Oryctolagus cuniculus: one gene and its partner. The protein of the gene in region 1 purifies or fractionates together with the protein of each later gene. This does not show direct contact. Links are inferred from orthologs where the notes say so. Each region holds a gene or a part of one and is shown in the gene's direction. Other genes may lie near its edges.

The links. The genes of interacting proteins can lie anywhere in the genome.
Region 2: the proteins of TCEAL1 (region 1) and KDM3A purify together in Homo sapiens (affinity purification with mass spectrometry; 3 studies listed by BioGRID and IntAct, counting the BioPlex papers as one, with this or other methods). This does not show direct contact. The link is inferred for Oryctolagus cuniculus from reciprocal best matches to the Homo sapiens genes TCEAL1 and KDM3A.

Annotation. Positions count from the first base shown.
Region 1 is NC_091453.1:89,818,075-89,822,019, reverse strand, and holds TCEAL1 (transcription elongation factor A protein-like 1), read left to right. Parts: upstream 1-1,359; 5' UTR 1,360-1,561; coding exon 1,562-1,618; intron 1,619-2,220; coding exon 2,221-2,733; 3' UTR 2,734-3,309; downstream 3,310-3,945.
Region 2 is NC_091433.1:116,320,350-116,324,631, reverse strand, and holds the start of KDM3A (lysine-specific demethylase 3A), read left to right. Parts: upstream 1-1,444; 5' UTR 1,445-1,565; exon of another isoform or gene 1,566-1,610; intron 1,611-2,115; 5' UTR 2,116-2,145; coding exon 2,146-2,331; intron 2,332-4,282. UniProt on the Homo sapiens protein: Histone demethylase that specifically demethylates 'Lys-9' of histone H3, thereby playing a central role in histone code.

The DNA of each region.
Region 1 (3,945 bases):
GAAGTGGAAATAAAAATAGTTAATTGATTTTGTGCAGTGTTTCTACCATCCTAGTAAAAAATAAATACATACTTGTGTATAAGCTACAAAATATAAAATATAGGGGCCAGGGCTGTGGCATAGTGGGTAAAAGTTACTGCCTGTGCTGCTGGTATCTCATATGGGTACCAGTTCTAATCGCACCTGCTCCATTTCCCATCCAGCTCTCTGCTATGGCCTGGCCCTCCCAGGCACATTAGCAGGGAGCTGGATGGGAAGTGGAACAGCTGGGACTCAGCCGACACCCATATGGGATGCCAGTGTGCAGATGGTGGCTTTACCCACTACACCACAGTGCTGGCCCCATGCAGCTATCTTTTGAAGGCCAGGAGTTCTAGGACCTAAATATTTGTTGATTTAATGAATTAATATAAACTTTCGTAACCACAAGTACCAAGAAGTGACCGGATAAGGATTTTGGAGACCTAATAAAATCTATTTCTTCTATTATGAATAGCAACTATTGAATAATGGTATATAAATGTATATATAAAGTATTCATTATATATATATACACTTATTTGTATACATACACATACATACATATATACATATGTCTGTCTATATCGATAGAGCGAGAGTGAGAATGACAGAGCCAGAGAGAGAAATGCCATGCTTTGCTTTCCTCAAGGAGTCTCTCATTTTGGATAACACCTAAGATTTCTGGACTATTTATACATGGACAAATGTATTTGTGGTTTATGAATATCATTTTTTTCAGATTTATATACTTTACAAACTGAACTTTTTCTACGCGTCTACAACTAAATGACTATTAATTTAGCCTTGAGTTTCTATTCGTGACATAGGTCTGGGGGCTGAAAAACAAAAACAAAATACTGACGTCAAAGAAAAGTGAATGAGTTTCTCCCATGAAAATGACAAAAGCGGAAAAGGTGTCGAGAGATCCGAAATGGAAACGATGGAGTTAAAGACGTCGATGAAAACCGGGAGTGCTGGGATAGGAGGGGATGATATTGATTCGCGACGGCCAGGAAGTCAAATGTCAGTGCAGGATTTGAACTGCAGGGGCAATCAGGGGCTGCCGTGATGGGGAAGGGAGGGTGGGGGAGAGAGCTGGTATCCGGGGAAGCAGCAGAGAGGAAGAGGCAGGCAGTTTCCATACTAGGTGCTGACATCTCCGGCAAGCAGAAAAAGGCGCACACGGAGAGGTGAGAGACAATGCTGGGTGTGTTTGGGGTCAGATTCAAGCAGGTTGCTGTGCACGGCCGCCGGTCAAAGTGGTAACGGGGGATCTGAGCTCGGCAGTGACGCGCGGCCCTCACGTGACCAGGAGCCTGTGTCTGCCAAGTCCCTCTCGTCCTGGTCCTTTCTGCCTGTCCAGACACCGTCTTAGTACCCTTTGGTCGAGAGGGAAAGCAGAAGGAAGTAAGTTCTCTCGATCCTCTCCAATCGGCGGTCGGTGCTGCCTTGGATCCCCGGAATCAGTTAGGGATGGCAGCGCCCAGGCCTCTTCCCTCTGCTCCAGCCCCGCCCCCGCGCCCACATTTTGGTGCAGAAAATGGTGGTCTTGAGGGGGTGGGGTAGGAAGGTGACGGAGAGCCCGCCTGGGAGGAAGGTATAGACCCTTGGAAATCGTTTTCTAAGTAACCGCTTGCTTCCATTTCCCGCCCGAGAAAAAATGACAAGCTTTGTGAGGTGGGGGCGCGGAGAACGAAGCGGGATAGAGGGTGTCTGGGAGGGGAGGAGAGCCTGAAGGGGGCTGGCATGGGGGCGGCGGCTGGCGCCCAGAACTGGGGGTGTGTGTCGCTCAGGCTGTCCCTCCTCCCCGCCCCCAACCCTGTGTGGCGTCTGTTTGCGGGGCACTGAGGGGGCACCTCGAGGAGGGTGCGTCTAGGAGCATACGTCCCTGAAAGGTCCATGTCCGTGAAGGGCTGGGCAGCGGGCCGGGGCCGCGGTGCCAGGGCGCCAGGGCGCCAGGGCGATCGCCAAACGCAACGGCCTCTGAGGTCCCCGCTGTCCCGCCCCTCTCACTGCGGGAGCGGCCTGTGGCAAGGCCTGCTGGGAAAATGGTGGGCTTGCGGGAAGGAAGGGCGGCCGAGAAGCGCGCGTGTGAGGACCTGGCCCCCAGTCAGGGCGAGGCCGGTATTGCAGCCCTGGCTGGGGTGTTGCTGCTGCCCCAAGGATCCTGACACTGCCCTGCTTTGCTTGTCTCCTAAGAATAACCGCTCGGATCAGAATATTCTCAGCATGGAAAATCCATGCCAAGAAAATGAAGAACAGCCGCGGAGCGCGCCGAGGCCCGACGAGGAGGAGCCTCCAGTGGAGCAAGCTCCCGAGAAGCAGGGGCCTGAGGAGGAGCCCTCTTCGGAGGAGCAATCCTCGGAGGAGGAGTTCTTCCCCGAGGAGCTGCTGCCCGAGCTCCTGCCCGAGATGCTGTTGTGTGCGGAGCGCCCCCGGCAGGAACGCCTTTCCAGCAAGGACCTGTTTGAGGAGCGCCCTCCCATGGAGCAGCCTCCTTGTGGAGTAGGCAAACATAAGCTCGAAGAGGGAAGTTTCAAAGAAAGGCTGGCCCGCTCTCGCCCGCAGTTTAGAGGGGACATTCATGGCAGAAACTTAAGCAATGAGGAGATGATACAAGCAGCCGATGAGATGGAAGAGATGAAAAGAGTGAGAAACAAACTGATGATAATGCATTGGAAGGCGAAACGCAGCCGTCCTTATCCAATTTAATGTATTCTGTCTTTAATTCTGTTTTGCCTGGAAACAGTGTTGCCACCGGAACTTTCTGTCTGCATTTTCTTACATGTCTTTTTCCCCATCTTCCTAATTTTAACTTTTTTTTCTTTTTTGACGCAGCTTTAATTTAGGTGCTTGGCTCCTAACTGGCATAAAATTGTTGTTGCTTTTTTTTTTCCTCCCTGAGATCTGAGCTCCATCTATTTGCATGGAAAGATGTACATGACATATTGTGAAGTGAAAAAAGCAATTTTCAAGAGTTATATATAATATCCATTTTTGTAAAAAAGTCCTGTATATTTATATATTAATATGCAAAGAGAAAATGAAAAGTATGGACTTCAAAAGCTTACCATGGCCATCTGTGTGGTGAGATAAGTGATTTTAATTTTTAAATGTGTTGATCTATCTGAATCTCATTTTTTTTCCAAATGAACACATTCTGCTTGTGTCACAGAAAAAGAAAAACCAGTATAATGAAAAGTGAAGCTATTTTGAAAATTACCTAATCAGCTCATAATGACAATGTGGCACTTAATAAATACTTGTTGGAATTTTAAAAGAGCAAAAGTGAATGCTATGTTTTCTCTGACTCTCTTAGTCAAAAATATAAACCAAAACATTAATATATTTCTTCCATCTAATACCTTCCTTATAGTGCTGCTGCAGAAACAAATGAGATTTGAAAAAAATGTGTGAACTGTCTTTTATTCTGCCATCTACACATGCAGGACCCCAACCCCTATACATTCTGTACAAACTTAGGGGATCATACCCAAGGAGATCTCACTTGTGTTTAGCAACCGTTCCCGTGGTGACATTCCAGACCAGAGCCACATTCTGGTCCTGCCCTGCTGTACTCAGATCTAGCCACACCTGCTAGACCCAGCTGCTCCTCTCACTGGCCCTGGTCACTGGGGACGTGCTGCAGTCCTCGAGGTGTGAAGCCTCACTGTTCTGCACTGTGTGATGGGCCACCGTTGAACTGGGTCTCTACAGATATACAGTAAATGTCCCCCTTACAGCTTTAATACTATAGTTATCCAGCCAGGCACCGACCGTGCCATTGCTGCTTAGACCTCTATGTCTCTAAACAACACTTAGAAACATAGTCCTTTCCGTTTCTTTCCCTTAAGTCCTCCCTTTTCTCCACTGAACTTAGGAGTTCAGTGAGACCTGGGCCAGGAGACAGTTTTGTGACTAGAC
Region 2 (4,282 bases), on another chromosome or scaffold:
AGCTATATTTGGTATGATACTTCCCTGTGATGTGGGGCATCAACAGCATCTCCCCGTCAGTCATGAGATCATGAAGGTAAACAACTGATTCTCTACAGTCTAGAGAATCCCCTTAAGTAATGTTTATGGGTTAGGTCTGCTGTATTTAGCACATTTTCCAGTTATATTTTCAAACTATGATGAATTTATCAGGATATCACCCTACCGAGAGAAGCATTTGTTGTTTCTTTTGCTCTTCTCTTTTGCCTTTTATTGGACTACATTTTCTTTGTTCCACTCTTCTATCACCCAAATTTTCAAAATTCATTTTAATCACTGTTATTCTTAACTTGAAAAACTCAAAGGTCGCACATAAAGAACATACGTATTTAAAACAACACCTGGAATTACTTTGCATCCGATTTCTTAAATACATTTATGAACGTTTTCTGATTCACCACTGTAATGGGGAGCATTGGTTTTCCATTCATTCTCTTAAAGATTAAATGTGATGTCACTTAAAGCATCAGCCTTTATAAAAAGGTCTTCAATTTCTTTATTTTTTCTTCTCCACTAGAGAAGAAACTCCAGAGTCAAAGCACATTTTTAATCTCCTTTGTCCTTCAAATTCACTTCCACTTTCATATCTTGTGTAACTATGGCCTCCATTCACTTTCCATTGTTTTGTAAGCCTCAGAAAATCTTCTCATCTTCTCCTCACATTAAAAAGCCTCCATTCTGCGTTGTGCTGAACTACCTCTTTTCCTCCAGATTCAACGAACGTCATTTCCCTTAGGCTCCACGCCTTGCTTCATTTAGCTTCAAAATGGCGGCCTTTGGACGTTCCACGATCAGCACCACGTGCGCCTGCGCCTCCCGCGGCCATTTCACCCAGCAGCCCCCGCTCCAGCTTCGGCTCCGAGAGGCGCCTGCGCACCAGCCTCCCGAGCACTGTGGCTCCGCCCTCCAGCTGAGTACGCCTGAAACCGCACGTTCCCTTCCCTTCCCTCCCCCGCCGACGCTGCACCGCCCTCAGCCCTTTCCTGTGAGATTCTTCCGCCAAGTGGAAGGTCCATTTTCGGTCGACAGCCTGCGCACTTGAGCAATCCAATAGGCATTTACAGCCCTGAGCCTGGCCGTTCAGTCTTATTTGTGCGCCACAACAATTTTCCTCCGGGCCCCAAAGTTGATGCCCGATTTTGCGGGACTCTTTTGCGTGCCGCGAGGCAACAAATGGAAAGAATGGCCCTGTGGCGGAGGGATCTCTCGCTTACTCTGTGTACTTTAACCTAATGGGGGTCGCCCGAGAGTCGGAAGGGGGAGGGGAGAGGGAGGAGGCAGCCAAGGAATTGTTTTTTTCTCTCGCCCCGCCCCCGTCGGGCTGGCCAATGGCGATGGGCCGTCTCCCTAGGAGCCCCGCCCAGCTCCCAGGCCTCCGCCAATGAGCGGCGGCAGCGGCTCCGCGGGGGCGGGCCCGAGAGGCTGTGCGTGTCTTGTGAGAGCTCTTGAACCAAGTCAGAGCGAGAGTCGGCTGGGCGGCTGGAAACGGCGGCCGCCGCCGGTGACTCAGGGAGGCGGGAGGCGGGGTAAGCGCGCCGCGGCCTCGGCTGCGGGGAGAGAAGGGAGAAAAGGTGAAGGCGCCGGGCCGCGGCCCCGCGGGTCCAGCGGCCGCGTTGCAGGCCCGGGCGAGGCCGGGAAGCCGGGGCGGGGCGGCGGGACAAGTGCGGCTTCGCGGGCCGCCCGGGGCGGGGACCCCGCTGCGGGGAGAGGCCCTCTGCACTAGGGGGCCTCCTCACCTCTTCCGGGCTCGGGGACCAGCGGCTGAATAGCCGCCGAGCCGCAGATAATTCTCCCGGTGCTCCCCCTGCGTTTAGGCTGGAGGCTTTTTGGAAAAGCGAAACTTGGGAGAGCGAGGGTCACGCGGCGCCTGGGCCGGGGTGTGCGGTGGGGGTGGCAGCGGGGCGGGGGGCAGGGAGGCGCTGGCGGAGGAGGGGTCGGTTGCGAGGCCCGCCCGGGGTCGCGCGTCCCCGGCGCGGGGTTGGGACGGCTGCCCCGCGCCCCCGACTCTCCCAGGCCGCCCCCGCTGCATTTTGTGTGTGTGTGTGTGTATATGTGTATTTTTTTGTGTGTGTGCAGGGAGGCGCCCTTCCTGCAGGCGTGGAAACCATGGTGCTCACGCTCGGAGAAAGTTGGCCGGTCTTGGTGGGGAAGCGATTCCTCAGCCTGTCCGCGGCCGAGGGCAGCGAGGGCGGCCCCGACAGCTGGGACGTGGAGCGCGTCGCCGAGTGGCCCTGGCTGTCCGGGACCATTCGCGCTGTCTCGCACACCGACGTGACCAAGAAGGACCTGAAGGTAAAGCCGGCGGCCGGACGGTCCGCGGTTGCCGTGGCAACGCCGCCGCCAGCCCGCTCCTGCACCCGGCGGCCCGAAAGTTGGCCTCCGATGGGAGGGGGCGGTCAAGCAGACCCTGAGGGTCTTCGCGGTGGCTGCGTGGAGTGAGGTGCGCTCGGCCCCGGAGTTCTGGCTGCGCGCGTGTGATCGTGGGCCGAGGGTGGTTGAGACACGCCTCATTAACGCCGGCGCTGCGCCCCTCGGGGCTGGCCGAGGGGAGGGAGGGTCCTCGGGCGGGTGGCTGACGTCGGGAGTCGTTCCGGATCGAGGGTTCGTGATTGGAAGTGCTTTCACGTGGGTTTGTGTGTGTGCGCGCTGGATTTCCTCCTCCAACTTTTCTCTCCCCCCATCTCCATCTCTCCCTCTCTCTCCCTCTCTCTCCCCGTCTCTCACCTGCAGACCTGTTAATAGTGTGTGATCGTGGAGGGAGGGAGGAGCTTAGTTGAGCCTGGCCCGTGGGGTGCGTTTGTGTCCCTGTACGGTGGGTCAGGCAGGAGTGGGTTCCTGGTTGTGTGTGATGAGCCTGTGGGTGGGTGTGGGATGTGACCATATAAGGAGGCCCGGGGTGGAGCCGCCCCTTATATGGTGTCCTGGAGGAATGGCTTCCACTCCTGGCGCTGGGGGGAAGGGAGGAGGGAGGGGAATGGGAACAAGTGTGGACAGTGATTTGTAAAATCAGAATGACACTTGGAACCTTTGTCGGGCTTTTTTTTTTTTTTTCCAAAGTGGGATGAATCCTGATTGGACTCTCTAATAGAAGTGTTGGTGTGAAAGGATTGTCTGGGAACAACCAGTGGGAAAGCCATTGTACCAACAAAGACTCCTTTGTGCAAAAATAACTGAAAAAAGATCCCTAACAAAGACTCCGAAGTGGTGGTAACTTGAGGGAAGCTTATGGGGACCGAAGCTCTCTCCACCCTGAGTAACGCGCGTGGTTCTGTGTCTGGCCTGGCTCCTCCTGGAGAACTGTGCTCCCGATGAAGGAAGCAGGTTTTAGTGTTGGTGCTGAGCGTGGGTCGATTTCTGAGACATTGCCACTTCTGGTGTTTTCAGGGTGCCAGTGCGTTCCCACACCACCATTAGTCTGCAAAGGGCTGCGTGGCTGTAGGTGTGTTGTTGAGTTTCCGTTGTGTGCCCTGTCATGTTGAGAAGTAGGTGTGACCCGTGAGTGTTTGGCCACGTGCTAGGCGTCGTGCCCAGCGTGCTGTCAAGTGGTGACTGCTTCATTCTTGGAGCAGTGCTTTGGCAGTAGGCACTGATGTTGCCCCATTTTACAGAGCAGTGCATCATGCTTGGGGAAGGATCTTGTCCATGGTCACATACCTGGGAGTTGACATAGCCTGTGTTCTTTAATACATTTTTTTAAAGGATTTATTTATTCATTTGAAAGAGTTCCAGAGAGAGGGAGAGACAGAGAGATCTTCCTCCTGCTGGTTCACTCCCCAGATGACTGCAATGACAGGAGCTGGGGCCGATCTGAAGCCAGAAGCTTCTTTGGGGTCTCCCACGTGAGTGCAGAGGCCCAAGCACTTGGGCCATCTTCCACTGCTTTCCCAGGCACATCAGCAGGGAGCTGGATCAGAAGAAGTGGAGCAGCTGGGACTCAAACCAGTGCCCATATGAGATGCTGGCACCACAGGTGGTGGCTTTACCTGCTATGCCATAGTGCTGGCTCCATAGCCTGTGTTCTAACCAAGAAGTTACACTCCATAATGCTTATCATCAAAAGCCATGCTACAAAAGGACTCTTGGAAGCTTTGAGATTTGGCTTTTCTCCTCCTTCCACTCATTCTACCAACTCAGGTTGTGATGTTTATAAAGATAATACATTGTGCAAGGATAGCCAACCTATTTGCTTTAGGCTAGTAACTTTCCTACAGAAAGTGAACTTTGTGTACCAGATTTCAATCGT